2 linked regions of the Tamandua tetradactyla genome follow. The protein of the gene in region 1 interacts with the protein of each later gene in a pairwise test. Links are inferred from orthologs where the notes say so. Each region holds a gene or a part of one and is shown on either strand. Other genes may lie near its edges.

What was found.
Region 2: the proteins of C20H1orf35 (region 1) and SRRM4 interact in binary tests that used the Homo sapiens proteins (3 or more experiments, as listed by UniProt). The link is inferred for Tamandua tetradactyla from reciprocal best matches to the Homo sapiens genes C1orf35 and SRRM4.

The regions. Positions count from the first base shown.
Region 1 is NC_135346.1:62,975,414-62,983,208, reverse strand, and holds the start of C20H1orf35 (multiple myeloma tumor-associated protein 2), read right to left. Parts: upstream 2,955-7,795; 5' UTR 2,931-2,954; exon of another isoform or gene 2,850-2,930; intron 1,734-2,849; exon of another isoform or gene 1,095-1,733; intron 1-1,094. Other genes in the region: MRPL55 (large ribosomal subunit protein mL55), read right to left, coding at 2,955-3,104, 3,788-3,989.
Region 2 is NC_135331.1:19,231,455-19,239,277, forward strand, and holds the start of SRRM4 (serine/arginine repetitive matrix protein 4), read left to right. Parts: upstream 1-4,784; coding exon 4,785-4,915; intron 4,916-7,823. UniProt on the Homo sapiens protein: Splicing factor specifically required for neural cell differentiation.

The sequences.
Region 1 (7,795 bases):
TAAGCAGCACCTCTGAAACCACATAGCTCTTCTACTTCTCTGACCCCACTGTCTCAGACTTCCTCACTTGCCTTTTAATTTGTGGGTTCCCCAGATTAACACAGTGGGAGTTAGACGTTACCGGGTTTGTATCCAATCGTACTAAGTCATTACAAGTCTTAGCTGCTTCATATGTGGCCAAGAAAATGCAAACTCCTTCCCTAAATTGATCTCCCAAAATGCCCAGTCCCTCTTGACTCCATCCATTCTGGTGACATCAACATCCCTGTGACTACAGACCTGCCTCTCCACATGCTTAGCTCCATCTTCTCTATATCATGTCCAAAAACAGAGATTTGCTCCTTCTCCAGGGTTCCCCCTCTCAGGAAGCATCATCACTGTCTGCTAAGTACTAGGATAGAAACCTTGCAAATGCCATCTCCCTTTTCTCACCTCTCTCCCACCTCACCTTCTTGCTACTGCCTCTTAAATAGCTCCCCAACACACTCTCCTCTAAGGTGACATTTCTAAAGCACACGTGGGTCTTGTGACATTCTTCTGGAATTGCTGACTTGTGCTGCTAGATGCCAGTGGGGACACTGGGGTCGGAGGGGCAGAGAGAAGGTGGGAGGGAGCGTCTGGACTCCTGTTCATGTACTGGTTTCACTTTGTGAAAAATTAACCAAGCTATACCCTTACGATTTGTACACTTTTCTCTGTACTGTTTGTGGTGGTATGAAGCTATGCACCCCAGAAAAACATGCTCTCTTTAATCCGTTCCTGAGGGTGTTACCCCATTGCAAGACCTTTTGATGAGACTACTGCAGTTAAGGTGTGGTTCCTATTACTGGAGTCCTTTAAAAGCAAAGAGAAATTCAAACAGAGAGAAAGCCACAGGAAGCAAGAAGCTAAAGATCAACAGAACCCAGGAGAGACGAGGAGACGCTTGCCATATGCATTTCATGTGACAGAAGAGCTAAGGACGAAGGATTCCACTGATGATACCTTGAATTGGACCTTCTCTTAGCCTCAAAACCATAAGCAAATAATCCCCATTGTTCGCAGTGAACCATCACATGGTATTTGCTTGAGTAGCTAAGAAAAAGAAACCACTATTCAGCAGCACATAAAATAGCAGGTATCCCATTGAATTCAGTGAGTCCAAATGCCTTAATGAACTCAAGATTCACATTTGTAGCCTCAGCACCTTGATTCTCTTCTTGCTCATTCATTTATTCAATAAATATTTTAAGTACCTATCAGGTGCTGTCCTAGGCGTGAGGGATACAGCAGTGTTTGCATCCTGGTGCAGTGAGACAGATGAATGTAAAGGTACAATGTGTCACACACAGGGACAGGAGTGCCCATGGGGACGGGTTGGAGGAGGGAGCATGTGGCATCACCAATCCAGGAGAGGCTGAGCAGAGACCTGAAGGATGGAGATGGGCTTGACACAGGAAAAGTGTTCCACTCCAGGAGCCAGAGTGATAGGCACACAGGAAGAACAACAGGATGCTGGACGGCTGGGGCAGCCGAGTTGCAGGGATGATCCTGCAGGACGTAGGGCCACAACAGGAACATGGACTGACTCAGTTCGGCAGGTCTGGACAGTTTATGGTAAACACCGAGTGGAAGCAGGGAGCCCAGGCTGGAGGCTGCCACAGTCGGCCAGGCAGAAGACGGCAGTGCTGGAGACCAGGGAACAGGAGTAGACTGTAACAATGGTGGTGCTAGGTAGGATACTGCAGCTGTACCTTCAAAATAAGAGAAGGTACAGCTGCAGTATCTGACCATGGACTAGAGGCTGGGTGTGACTACCAGCTTGGCTTGTTAGCAGATGGCTGGGAGACATGAGTGCAGGGTGGCTCCAGGGTTTCGGCTGGAACAGCAGCAAGGATGGGGCAGCTGCGTACAAAGATTGGAACTGAGCAGGAGAAGGCGGCTTGTGGGAGGTGGTTGAACCAGTTTTAAACACGGTGAACCCAAAGTGCCCACTGACCACCCGAAACACGGTGTGAGGAAGAGGGGCACAGTCTGGACGGGGCAGGGTCCCTGGCTGGAGGTACACACTGAGATGGCATGTTGTTTTCTGACGGGAATGGTCCCAGAGAAAGGGGACACTGCCAAACCAGGAAAAGGAAGAGTCACTGGCATGGGAACTCAGGGCAGGCAGAGCAGTTCTGGTACAGATGCAGTGGGGGCAGTGGGTGAGGCAGGAGGGGGCTGGCCAAGCACAGAGGCAGAGAGGCAGAAGAAACAACCACGTGGGCAGTGTGGGAGCAAACGGTCCAGGTGGGAAAGGCAAGCAAGAGTGGAGAAGTGTTCCCACCCAGGCTGAGTCTCTGAGGGGAGCCAAGGGTACTGCTGGGTCGGGGAGGTGGCAGCGGCAGCCTCAGGTGAGGACCAACCATCGGAAGCCTGACCTTGGATCTCTTAGCCATTTCACTCTGCCAGGAAAGGAGCAAAATCCTCATGCTCCTGGGGGCGTGGAAGCCGTGGGGAAATCTGGAGAGCAGTGGGAGGGGTACATCCTGCAGCCTGACTAGACAGTCTGAAGCAGGAAGAGGACTGGACTGATGTCAGTCTTGCTTCTACTCTCAACTCTGCCAAAGATTTCTGGTGTGCCCCAGGCCTCCCACTCCCCATTCTGGGCCTCATTTATAGGGCAGCAGGTTTAAAGTAACCAATTCCACACTCTCCAGGATGGTTTCGGGTCATAAAAAGACCGCCTTTAGGGCCCTCTGCCTGTCCACTTCTGGAGTTAAAGTTTTGCAAGTTCCAGGGGCAGTGCCACGTGGGACCTAGCATTTCCGACAGGGGTCACCTCGGGCAGCATTAAGGCCAGGAGGACAGGACGAGATGACACAAAGTGGTGGTGAGTTTTTAACTTACACTTTTAAACACAGACGCTACTGTGGGAGAAGACCCTCCCCCCCATCTTCACAACTCACTTCCTGGACAGCTCAAGGGTGCAGTTACTTTTTGATCCAAAACCGTTTGTATTGCTCTGGGTCAAAGTCATCCTTGAGCTCTGGTTCTGTCTTTGTTTCTTGGAACTTAGCCTCACGCTTCCGCAGTCGAGCCTTCCTCTCTTCAGGAGACAGGGCATCAAGATCTGTGGGCAGCTACAGTGGGAGGGAAGGCACTGTGGTGCATTCTGGAGCCGCTCACGGAAGGGGGTGGGGGTGGGGGTGGAGTGAAACCAGTAAAAATGCCAAAACCTAACTGAGCTGATGTTAAATTTGTAAAGGATTACTGATATCACATTTTTCCAAGTCTTTGTTTGACCTTAGTTTTTTTCTATTGTACTTTGATTTTTTACATGTTCTGTTTTTTCTTTCCCTTCAAAGCGTTTTTCCTTATAAAAGAAAAAAAAATGTTTTCTTGTTGTTTCCCTGGGTTTTCTTTTTTTTTTTAATATAAAATTCATAAATCCCATCTACTTTTTCTGTATGCTCTCTGGGCATAAACTGACTTCTCAAACAATAACCCTTGATACTATATCATTCTTTCCCCACTGACGTGAGACATCTCCATTGTGCTCTTTGGCTACAAGCTTATTCTGAACTAACTAGCCCAAGAGCTCCCTGAGAGAGCATTTCTAAGGGTCTCTTCTTTCTGAGGATCTACTGGGGCCCAGGCCAGAGCAAAGTTCAGCAAGTGGACCCAGGCCAGGGGAAGAGGTCTCTTGAGCCCCTACAGTGTGGCTGTGCCTCCTCTTGCCTTTGCTCTGGGCTCACCTGGCATTTGGACCTAAGCAGATCCTGGGGAATGAGGTCAGAGAATGTGCCTGGTGACTGAGCCTTACCGCCAGCATCCGTCTTGGCTCCCTGTAGCGGATGTGGATGGTCGAGCCATCCTGCTTCACCAGGAGCACAGGATAGAGGCGTGCATACATTTGCCTGTGTATCCGTGTGAGTGCTGCTCTGTTACAGTCAGCCCGCCAGGAGGATGTGTGCAGGCAGTGGCATGAGGCAGCCACTCTCCTCAGGAAACTCTGCCGCAGCAGGCTGCAGGGAGACATGTGGATAACTCGTCAGTGGATCGAAGCTGGGGTCAAAGGTACCAAATGTGGCCCATGGCTGGCTAGCCAATCAGGATCTGGGACAAAAAGGCCTGAGAACTTGAGGTCACCAGATGGGTGCGGAAGAGCCAGGCATGTGTAGGGCTTTCCCCCTAGTTCGCTTTTTTATCACTTTGTATCCAGTGATACAAAAGTGCTGGCTACATAGGGAAGTGTCATAGAGGAGGCCTGCCTCGGTGATGAAGATGCAGGAATGGTCTGGCCACAGGCTGCCTGAAGTAGGGACTGGCCCTTGAAAAGAGAAGAGCAGACAGGGCTATAAGGGGGCACGGTGGACAGATGGGGGCCTTCCTTTCACTGCCCCACCTGCCCTGTCCTAAGCAGGGCCAAGAGGCCACTGTGGGGTGAGCACATGATGCTCCCCAGACACAAGGACAGTGGACAACAACCACGAGCCCAAGGGGTTTAGGAAAGACCTCTGTTTGGAGAGGCCTGGCTGACCAGCAGATCCTTGGACATGTGTATGGTACGGGAAGCTCAGTTCTGACAGAAAGATAACCGTCTGGGTGAGGATGATGCCAGACCCGAGATTCATGCAGTCAAAAGCAGGTACTCTAAAGTGACGGGAAAGAGGTGCTCTGGCCAAGCTCTGCCACTAACTGCTGGTTGACCCTGGACCTGTCCCTTACTCACTCTGGCCTCAGTCTGACAACGGGGCAGCTCAGCCTGTGACCTCTGATTGCCTCCAGCCCTGAGATTCCCGGCTTTAATCTCAATGTGGATTTAGACCCACTCCTAGGCCATTCTGCCATCTACCCATTTTTCCACAGCTTGAGGAAAAAATGTTAGAAACACTGCCAGCTTTTCTCAGGAAAAGCCTGCTGTTCTTTTCGATGCCCCGGACACATCAATTACCATTTCCACTTCATTCCTTTACTCAAATCTCTCTCAAAGCCCCTTTGCTTCAATGCCTAGCCATGTCTACCCCAGACCATCCCAACAGCCTCCTTCCAGGTACCCTCCCACTGCCATGCCCCTCTGATGGGGACTCCACACTAGAGCACTACTTCCACAAACTATCTGGTGAAATCACTTCAGGGGCTCCCGCTGCTCTCACAATAACAGGCAGATTACTGACTGCCCATATGGTCTTTGGGATTTCTCAGTCATATCCTACCCCCATCCTCTCCCACAACAAAACTGTTAGCCCAAGAACCCTGCAGGTCCACACAGAGAGTGCTGTCTCCCTCCTCCTAGCCACAGCCCCCACAGCCCACCGCCTGGAACTCCACTTTTCACCTCCTCAGGGTTCACACGATACCCCATGCTTCCCAAGACAGAATCATCTAGCTGACACCGTCCTGTTCTATGTGTCCATCTGGCCCCTAGACTATGATATCCTGGGATAAGAAATGCATCTTATTCACCATTAAATTTCAGACCTCTAGCATAGGACTTGGTAAATTTTGACAAAATGAATCTGGTCTCTGCCTTCAAAACTGCATGAGAAAAGCAAGGTGACCTGGTGGCACAGTAAATGTGGAATTTAGTCCATCTTCCAGGGCAGCCAGTAAATAGCCAGGAACTGTATAAACAGTTGGGGAAGCAGTGGTGACTGGACACACATCATACACCAGTCTAGGCCTAATTTTAAGTAGGCTTAGCCTATCCTTTGCAGGATTAAGTTTCATATGAACAAACCCCAAGATTGGAGGCTCAGCCTATTGCTTTGGCTATCCCCACTGCCTGTGAAAATACCAAAAATTCTCTATTCCGGTAAGTTGAATTTTCCCCCTTTCTCACCATCCCCCTTAGGAGACTCCGCAAATACTTCCCTATTCACCGTTCAAATCGCTCTGGGATTTATCTGGGCATCACTCTGGACAAACCTACAAAATCTCATGCCCTACATAAGGTTCCAAGTACTATCAAGTACTATCATTGTATCAAGTACAAATGTTAAAATAAATTTAGTAGATTGAAATGCTGGTGATCGGTGAAGGGGAGGGATAAGAGGTATAGTATGTATGAATTTTTCTCTATCTTCTTTTTATTGCTTTTTCTGAATTGATGCAAATGTTCTAAGAAATGACCATGATGATGAATATACAACTATGCGTGAGTTATTGATTATATAACAAGAACGGACTGATCATATGGTAAGAATGTTTGTGTTTGTATGTGGTTATGTATCATAAATAAAAAATAAATTAAAAAAAGAATAAAAAAAGAGACAAAGAAGGACAACAATGTGTCAATAAAAGGAAGAATTCAATAAGAAGCCATAAAATCATAAATAGTTATGCACCGAGCCAAAGTGTTCCAAAACATATGAAGCAAACACTGACAACACTGAAGGAAGAAGTAGGCACCTCTACCATAATAATGGGAGACTTCAACTTCCTGCTCTCATCAGTGGAGAGAACATCTAGACAGAGGCTCAGTAACAAAACAGAAATTTTGAATACAATAAATGACTAGACTTAACTGACATTTACAGAACATTACACTCCATAACAGCAACGGATACAAATTTTTCTCAAGTGCTCATGGATCATTCTCAAGGACAGACCATATGCTGGGTCACAAAGCTGTCTCAATAAATTTAAAAAGATTGAAATAGTACAAAACACTTTCTCGGATCATAATGGAATGAAGCTGGAAAACAATAGCAGGCAGAGGGCTGGAAAATTCACAAATAATATGGAGGCTAAACAACACACTCAAAAATCAGTGGGTCAAAGAAGAAATTATCAATAAATACCTCAAGGCAAATGAAAATGAAAACACAACATATCAAAATTTATGGGATGTAGCAAAGGCAGTTCTGGGAGGGAAGTTTATTGTTCTACTTTAAAAAAGAAGACAAAAAAAATCAAGGAATTAACTGTTCATCTGGAAGAACTATAGAAGGAACAGCAAACTAATCCTAAAGCAAACAAAACAAAAGAAATAATGAAGATTACAGCAGAACTAAATGAAATTGAAAATATGAAAGCAGTAGAGAGAATCAACAAAACCAGAAGTTGGTTCTTTGAGAAAATCAATAAAATCAATGGACCCTTAGCTAGGCTGACCAAAAAGGATGCAAATAAATAAAATCAGAACTGGAAGAGGAGACATAACAACAGACTCCACAGAAATGAAGGAGGCAATGCGAGGATACTATGAACAGCTTTATGGTAATAAACTAGACAATGTAGATGAAATGGACAACTTCCTAGAAAGGTATGAACAACCAACACTGACACAAGAACAGACGATCTCAACAAACCAAATACAAGTAAAGAAATTGTATCAGTCATCAAGAAGCTCCCAAAAAAGAAAAGTCCAGGACAGATGGCTTTACAAGTGACTTCTACCAAGCATTCAAGAATTAGTACCAATCCTGCTCAAATTCTTCAAAAAAACTAAAGAGGAGAAAAAATAACCTGACTCATTCTATAAGCCAACATCACCCTAACCAAAGCCTGACAAAGATACTACAACAAAAGAAAATTACACAACAATCTTTTTAATGAATATAAATGCAAAGATACTCAAAAAAATACTTGCAAATCAAATTCAGCAGCACATTAAAAGAATTATACACCATGACCAAGTGAGATTTATTCCAGGTATGCAAGGCTAGATCAACACAAGAGAATCAATTAATATAATACACCATATCAATAAGTCAAAGCAGAAAAAAAACACATGATCATGTTCATTGATGCAGAAAAATCATCTGACAAAATCCAACATCCTCTCTTGATGAAAACACTTCAAAGGACAGGAATAGAAGGGAATTTC
Region 2 (7,823 bases), on another chromosome or scaffold:
TGTGGGAGACCCGGGTTCACTTCCCAGCCTGTGCACCTTCCTCCCAAAATTCAACAAATGGTGCTGCGATAACGGGATAATCACATGGAAAAAAGAATGAAATGTGACCCCGCCATACAGCATACTAAATAAATTAATTAAAATGATAGCCTTGGAGATTTATATCCTGTCCTGCCAACTACATGCAAAATACCAGATTTCCTGTACTACACACCGTGAGGCAAGTAGTTTTTGCTACTTTTGCAGGAAGAGGTGGCAGACTATAAAAGTAGCATCATTTGTAGATATGCAGACTGTTTAACAGACAGTTCTAATAGGGACACAACTTATAGAGGTTGGATGCACGTACACCCTCACCCAATGTTAAACTTTCCTTATTCTGTTGCTGGAAGTCAGTGTAGCCTAGAGGTAAGCACATGAACTTTAGAGTAAGGCAGATCTGGATTTGAATCCAGACTTCGCCACTTGTGAGCTGTGCAACTCTGGGCAAGTGGCTTTACCCCACTGAGCCTCCGTTTTGCAATCAGCAGATTTCAGACAATAAAGTTCCTTTCTCATAGAGTTATGACAAGGATTAAATGAAATGATGTTATTAAGGGTTTAGCATACGTGGTGACTAAAACATAGAACAGACCAACATGTACTTGATAAGTCCAATTATTATTAATATCTGAGACAGCAAGGAATGCAATTGTCTTATACTGTCATGCAACAAGGAATGGAGGATTCTTATAGTGTCACTCCACAAGGACATGTATTGTCCATGTTAGTGCAGGGGGCATTTGAAGCAGTGCGCATCAATAAATGGACAATAAATGGCAGAAAGGGGATTTAGATTATTCACAAGGTAGAACTTCCAAGAAGTGAGAATTGATAAATCCCGAATAGTGCAATTATTATTTTTATCCCTATCTATGTAAAGAGATACAAAATCTTCTAATTTGAATTGCTTAACACCATCCTATTTAAAGGCACAAAGACAGATGAATGGGTCTTATTATCATATTCCATTATCTCAATAATTACTTGAATCTTACACTGTTCACTGGACTTTTGGAAATAGGTACAGACCATCAAGTACCCTTTATCTCTTGGTGCTGGTGGATAATGATCTGTCCCATTGCACTCAGAGGTGTCCTGGACACAGAGAGATTAAGCGGTTTACACTAGGTAACACAGTGAGGTCATCGAGATGGGATTTGAACTGCCTCAGTAGGAGCAGTAGCTATTTCTCTGAGTTGGAAGTGCTGCTTCTTTGGGTCACTGAAGGAAGGACGTATAAGAATTTCTTCAGTCTCCACAAAGTACCTCAATCTGAAAATCCTAGAGTTACTTCTCTTTGGTCTCCCTTTGTTAAAATGAAAGAGCAATAGCAATTAGGAAAAGAAGCACCCTCTAGACATGGATGACAACTTGATTTATCTGAAATGCCAACCCCAGTGAATTAGCAATCGGTTCTCTAGAAGACTGTGTTGAGAAGGATTCTGAGGCTACATCGCAGAAAGAGTGCTGCAATGGATTAGTGATGCCTGCCATCAGCTGTGTGCAGAGGAGAAGCTGCAATTGTGCCACATATTTGTGTTCACTGCCCAGCATATTGTTAGTATTTGGCTTGTGGTGGGGACTGGCTTGCACCTGGAAAAAAAAATAGAGAGCAATACCCTGACAAAAGGTGACACAAGATGGCTATATTTTGATAAAGTGATGAAGGGCCTGGAGTTTGGGGCATGTTGGGGAAGGCAGACCTAAAGCAACTTTGTTAGGGTGGAAGGAGGACAAACATTAGGCTATGGGAACCCAGAAGATAAATTAGACTGTGAGATCCTTTAGGGAAGGGACCATGTTTTGTTCATTTTTGGAACTTCCATGCCCAGGACTGTGCCTGAACAAGATTAGGCATCAGTGAATGATTATGTAACTGATCACCGTCTGACTTAAGAAATTGACAGGTGATGATGGCGACGTAATAGCTATTCCTTAATAGACACTGACCATGAATTGGACACTGTTGCTAAATCCCTTCCAGGTAATATTTCCTTCAGCCCTCACAATAACTCCTTGAAGTTTCCACTAAGCTCTCCGTTTTGCAGATGGGGAAACTGAGCCAGAGGTTAGCAATACTCCAAGTTCATCCAAATATTCTACAGTCTGTACATGCATTAATTTCTTTAACCCTCACAGCTAGTTCCTTTAAACATAGGCTCTTTAATCTCTATAGAATCTCTGTGTTACGGATGGAGAAACTGAGGCATGCACAGGTAGTCACTCCTCCGAGATCACACAGTAGGAAATGACTGAACTCAAACTTGAATCAGGCAGTCTGGCTCCAGTGGCAGATTCATTACCTGAGACCCCCATTTAGATGCTCAATCACCTCAGTGGCTCATTGGTACTCACTCACTTTTACATTCTACCCGGGTATGTTTACTATCCTAAGGACCCCCCACACACACACACAAAAAAAAAAAACCAGAAACTTTTTTAACAGGCCTCCTTTGTGTCCTTGGGTGAGTCACTTAGGTAAGAGCAGATTCCTGTCCCACCTCACCTGCTGCTGTGGGGTTCAAAAGAGGCAGTACCATGGGAATGGAGTTTTACCAACATTCTGAGAATTTAAGAACAGCTGGAGAGGTTGTTTGACCTTGTGGAGTGTGATCCCACTGACTGATGACTCAGTTCAGACCCTAAGTGTCCCAAGGATGATTTTAAATACCCCAGCCTACTTAAGGAGCCAGCTGTCAAAAAAATTTAAGATGACATCAGCTTCAGGGTAGAAAATAGGGCTTGAGAGCAGTCAGAGAATGGGAGTATTTGACCAAAGCGGGGTGGGGGTGTGGGGAGCTGGCCTCCACTTCTTTCCATGCCCACACTCCCTAGTCGTCTCCCACCTCCAGACGCCCTACACACCCAAGCCAGGAGATGCATCTCTAGCTGTTGACCAGAAGGGGTCACTGCAAAGCAAAGCAGCACTCTAAGGCCCTCTTATAAACCCACCCATGAAATTCCAAATACGCACATATCCAAATATATATATACCCTTCTGGACCCATACTCTAGGGTTTTTTCCATCTTCTCCTCCCCCACCCCCACCCCCCACATCTTGTTCTCTCTGCTTCCTCTTTCTCCCTTCTCCCGTCTTCCTCTCCTGTTCATTTTCAAAGAATTTCTCAAATTCACATTGGTGGCCTGGTCCCCCATTGCCATCAGCATCGGCAAGAAGCTTGGGCTTATTCCTGCTCCTGGCCGGAACCTGGTGCCAGGTGCTGGGGCTCTTGTAGACTCAGCGAAGCCTCCTTCCAGGAGTTTACAGCCTTGGTGGGGGTGCAGAGGGGTGGGGCAGCTCTGCTGGGATTAAAGGGCTCGAGGCAGAGATGGGCTGAGGGGGTGCAGCAACTTTTGGCTTTCTTAATGAAAACCCTGGGAGGAAACGAGAAATTCTGACCCTGATGCTCTATGTCTGAGGTTTATTTATGATTCTAAACCTCCGCTTCCTGGGATTAGGATTGAACTAGGAAGGGGTAAAGGATGGGGAGGAGGGAGTGAAAAGTTGACTCCTCCCATAATCTTCGGATTCTGCGCTCCCCCCAAAGCCCTCCCTATAAACGCTTTCTTTTCTAAAAGGGACTCCCTTCCCCAGGCAAGCTGTGTTAAGAAAGTGCCTGCCGCCGAGTTCCCAGGAGTGGCTGGGGGCGGATGGGGGAGTGGGGGCGGGGGTTGCAGTCCTTCCTCGGGACGGGTCTGGCTGCGAGACACAAAAGACATATCCCTTACAGCGCCGCAAGGACAGATGTAGCGCTGCGCCCCTCTGCGGGCGGGGGCCCGGCTCGGCAGATGGCGAGAAGCTGAATTGGGGAGGGGTTGTCCATCAGACAGCACTTTCTGGGTGGTGCTGATCTCGCGGTCCCCGGGGCACTGGCAGCAACTCAGGGGACCCCCTTTCCGGGTCTAGGTAGTCCAGAAGTTGGGGGCGTGGGGGGGGGGCGGATTGGTTTGGGAGGGTAGGTTAAGTTTTTTGCCTCCCTCTCACTAGGAGATCCTCTACAGGACTTCTTTCTGAAGGGGTTGAGAAGGGAGGTGCCCGGAAGGCACACGAAGGAGGCGGGCGGGGGAAGAAGAGAGAAAGCGCCGGGAAGCACAATCTCCAGCCGCGTTCGGGGTGCCGGGATTGCGTCTTCCAGGCTCAGCGCTGCAACTCTGTCGCCGCGGGCCCTGGTGACAGGCGCACGCCCCGCCCTTTCTCCTCCCAAGACCTGCGGGCTTTTGTTATGCAGATGGCGGCAGGAGGCTGAGCGGGAGGGGGAGGGGGAGAGGGCTGGGGGGAGGAGGAAAGACGAAGAAGGAGGGGAGGAAAGTGCAGCTCGCGCGACCAGCCTCCTCTTCCAACGTCACATTGTGCGAGAGACAAAACCCGGGCGCGCCGGAGCTCACACGCGCACGCACACCCGGGCGACCCCGCCGCCTCTCCTCTCCCGGCACTGCCGAGAGAGCCAGCACCCCCCAACACCGCCCCTTTCCCTCCTGGGGCGCCCGGCCTCAGCAAGCTCAGAGCGCAGCCCAGAGCCCAACCTCAGAAGGTGAAGAAAAGCCGGCGGACGAGCCTTCTTTCTCCGCTGCCTGCCCGGGCTGAGGCGCCCCCTCCCCCTCCTCGAACCCCCGAGCTCTCCCACCCCACCCCTCCGGGTGTTTCACACGGACGGAGCCGGGAGCCGGGTGCGCCCCCCTGTTTGGAATCCACGCTTCAGCACTTCGGACAGCGCCCGCGGCCCGGCCCCTTCGGGTTGGCTATGGCGAGCGTTCAGCAAGGCGAGAAGCAGCTTTTTGAGAAGTTCTGGCGAGGGACCTTCAGAGCGGTGGCCACCCCGCGTCCCGAGAGCATCATTGTCGCCAGTATCACGGCCCGCAAGCCTCTGCCAAGGTAGTGACCTCCTTCCCCACAGGGGAGCCCCTGCTGATCCCCCTCTCTGGCCTGTACCCCAGAGCCCTGAGGGGTGGATACAGGGGACTGGGCCAGGATGCCTGCCTTTTCCTGTCACTCCTCGGTATCTCCGGCTGGAACGTGGGAACTAATTGCTTGTGTGGAGTGGACGCTAACGAGAAGGGATGGGGTCCTTTGTGGGAAGGGGCAGTTGACATACTGAGATCCCCGTTTTGCTTTCTTAGGGTGGGCAGTGACTTTCTTAGGGTGACTGGCTCTAAGAAACTTTTCTTGGTATTGCAGGGCTCAGAGGGCGGGATGGGGGGGTGGGTGGAGGTATGGTGGGTTTCCTGTGGTTTGGGAGTGTTGTGTAAGAAGGGAGGGTGAGCGTTTAACAGGCTCCAACAGTGTTCAGAGACAGCAACACATTTCTATACTCAGCTCAGAAACGAGCGAGCTCTGAACATTTTGACAAAAGCCCATATGCTGTTCCCTCAAATACACCCAAAACATCACCCTCCTCCACGCCTTTCTCACTGCTGCTGCTGCTGCTGAATTCTCTCCTCTCCAGCATCCAAACCGAGGATTCTGAGCTCAAGAGTCAGGGAGAAGCCTTCCAAGACTGTGAAGATGGTCTTGGAAGAGTTTTATTTGAATTTTCAAAAGGATCCGATTGCTTTGAATTCAGTGTTGGTGGTGGAAATGGTGTGAGGTGGACAGAATAAGGGAAGAAATTCAAGGAAGGCAGAAAGAGGGAAAGCAGGACGTGGGGCAGAAGGGAGAAGAGGGTGAGGGAAAATGGAGGCATTCCAAGACAGAAAATCCAACTCTTCAAAAATCATTCAATTTAGTGGAGTTTGAGAATGAAAAGGGAAAAGGCTATGCCCTCTGTCAGGGAAAATCAAGGCAGTATGAAAACTCATCTTTTGCTGGTGTTGGACGAGTGGTTCAGTGGGAGAAAAAGAAAGAAGTGGACCTGGGGGGGGGGGACACTTGGGGGATTTATTAATCCTGGCAGCCTGTATCAGGGAGTAGATTGAAACATGTCTTGAAAAGTGCTTTAGACAGAATGTCTGTTCTGTCTAAAGCACAACGCAATCTGAACTTTGCAGTGGGTGTGGGATGGAGGACTGATGGGCCATCATACCTAAAATAAAAAAAATAATAAAAAAAAAAAAATCACACCCAGACTGGAGAACTTTTCCCTTCACAGTTTGATAGAGACTTGGCTCACACCAGTCTCTAGAAAATTGGGTGCCCCGTGTTGGGAATGTATGGACTGGAGACATGCTGGCCCAGCAGGCTGTAGCAGGCTGCAAGCAGCAGCAAGACAGTGTTTGCAGACAGGAGGGAGGGGGACAGCTACTGACACAAGCCAGAGAAGGAGAACAATGACACCAAACGCTATCAAAAGCTGACGTTTCTCTGCTTGGAATGAGTTTCTTTCTAGAGCGTTTTGACGTCAGTGGTTTTATCTTCCTGGGTTTCTGCCGTGTGTTCCACCTTTGGAGTGCACATGCTGTTGGCAAATCAGGTGCTGCGCTGGCCAGAGAAAATGCCCTTGTAGAAGGAACTAGAGAGGAAATTGCATTGAAAACTAGAAGTGTGGCATTTGGTTCAGAGTCTTCCACCTACTTCAGTGGTGCAGGGAGAGGAGATCAGATTCCTGGTGTGTTTTCGTTCGAAAAGTCATGTCTGATTTCTACCTTGTTTGGTACCTTCATCCTTTGCCTAGTAGTCTGTTACTTTCATGCCCTTTTCTTGTTCAGAGTCTGAATTGGCCACAAGGGCTCCCAATGCCCGTATCTTTGAGACTCTCACAATAACCACCTCTTCCCCAACCCACAGGTATCACCTCAGTCTTGGTGTTTTTCTAATATCCTGAGTCTCTTTCTCCCCTGGAAACCAATCCTGAGTGAGAGTCTGAGCCACAAGCCCCTGATTTATGTCAGGCTGGAAGGGTCCTCTGTAGAGTAAAGTCTAGTTTTACAGCTTTTACTCTTGTTTTGGGAGTGGAGATGAGCAGGGAATATTTGTATCAAAGCCCTCAGGAAAGACTGCATTTGGGTTGCCTTTTAACTGACTGGCTAGAAAAAACCCGAAACCTCTCCATTCTCACCCAAACTAGGCACATCCAGTGATGGTCAATTTTCATCTCCTTTCAAATATCCTACTTACCTGAGGGTGAAAATGCTGTTTCTAAAGCATAGCTCTTAGAAAGGGAAAGGGCAGAGATTCTGGCATAGCTTCAGCTAGGACCCATTTGCTTCCTCTAGAGGTAATTTGGGGCTTGGCCACCTCAGAAATGTTGTTTACTTCCAAGAGTCAAACCTATCTCACAGTCAGTAGATCTACCCAAATAGCTGTCTGCAGACGCATGGGGGAGGGGACGGATTAAGTAGCAGCCAGTCTTTTGGTTACACTCTTAATATGTGCTTATAAATGAGGGCCACCCTGTGAATGAACTCCTCCAGGATATTTTAAGTCTATCTCCAAAGATAATTTAGTACCAGGACAGAAACATACATTCAGATGGAAGCATTCATTCAATTTGTTGGTTTCACAGCACTATGCATACATCATACAACTGCACACCAAGCAAAACCTCCCTGAGTTACCCCTCCTCTTCCCCTCCACCTCGGTGAGGCATATTTGATGAGGCAATAGCTTTATAATGTATCAAATTGCAAGCAGATGTCTGACTCAAATGTCAGAACAGTATAGCAGAGTGGGAGGCAGTATATCATAGCGGTGAAGAGCTCAGCCTTGAGTGTCAGACAAACTTGAATTTCTGTCCTGGCTCCTATCATTTACTCACTGAGTGTCTTGAGCAAGTGGCTTAACCTTGCTGAGCTTGTTTCATTGTTTTTCAAAATAGGAATAATAGCCACCCAGATGATGGGTTTCG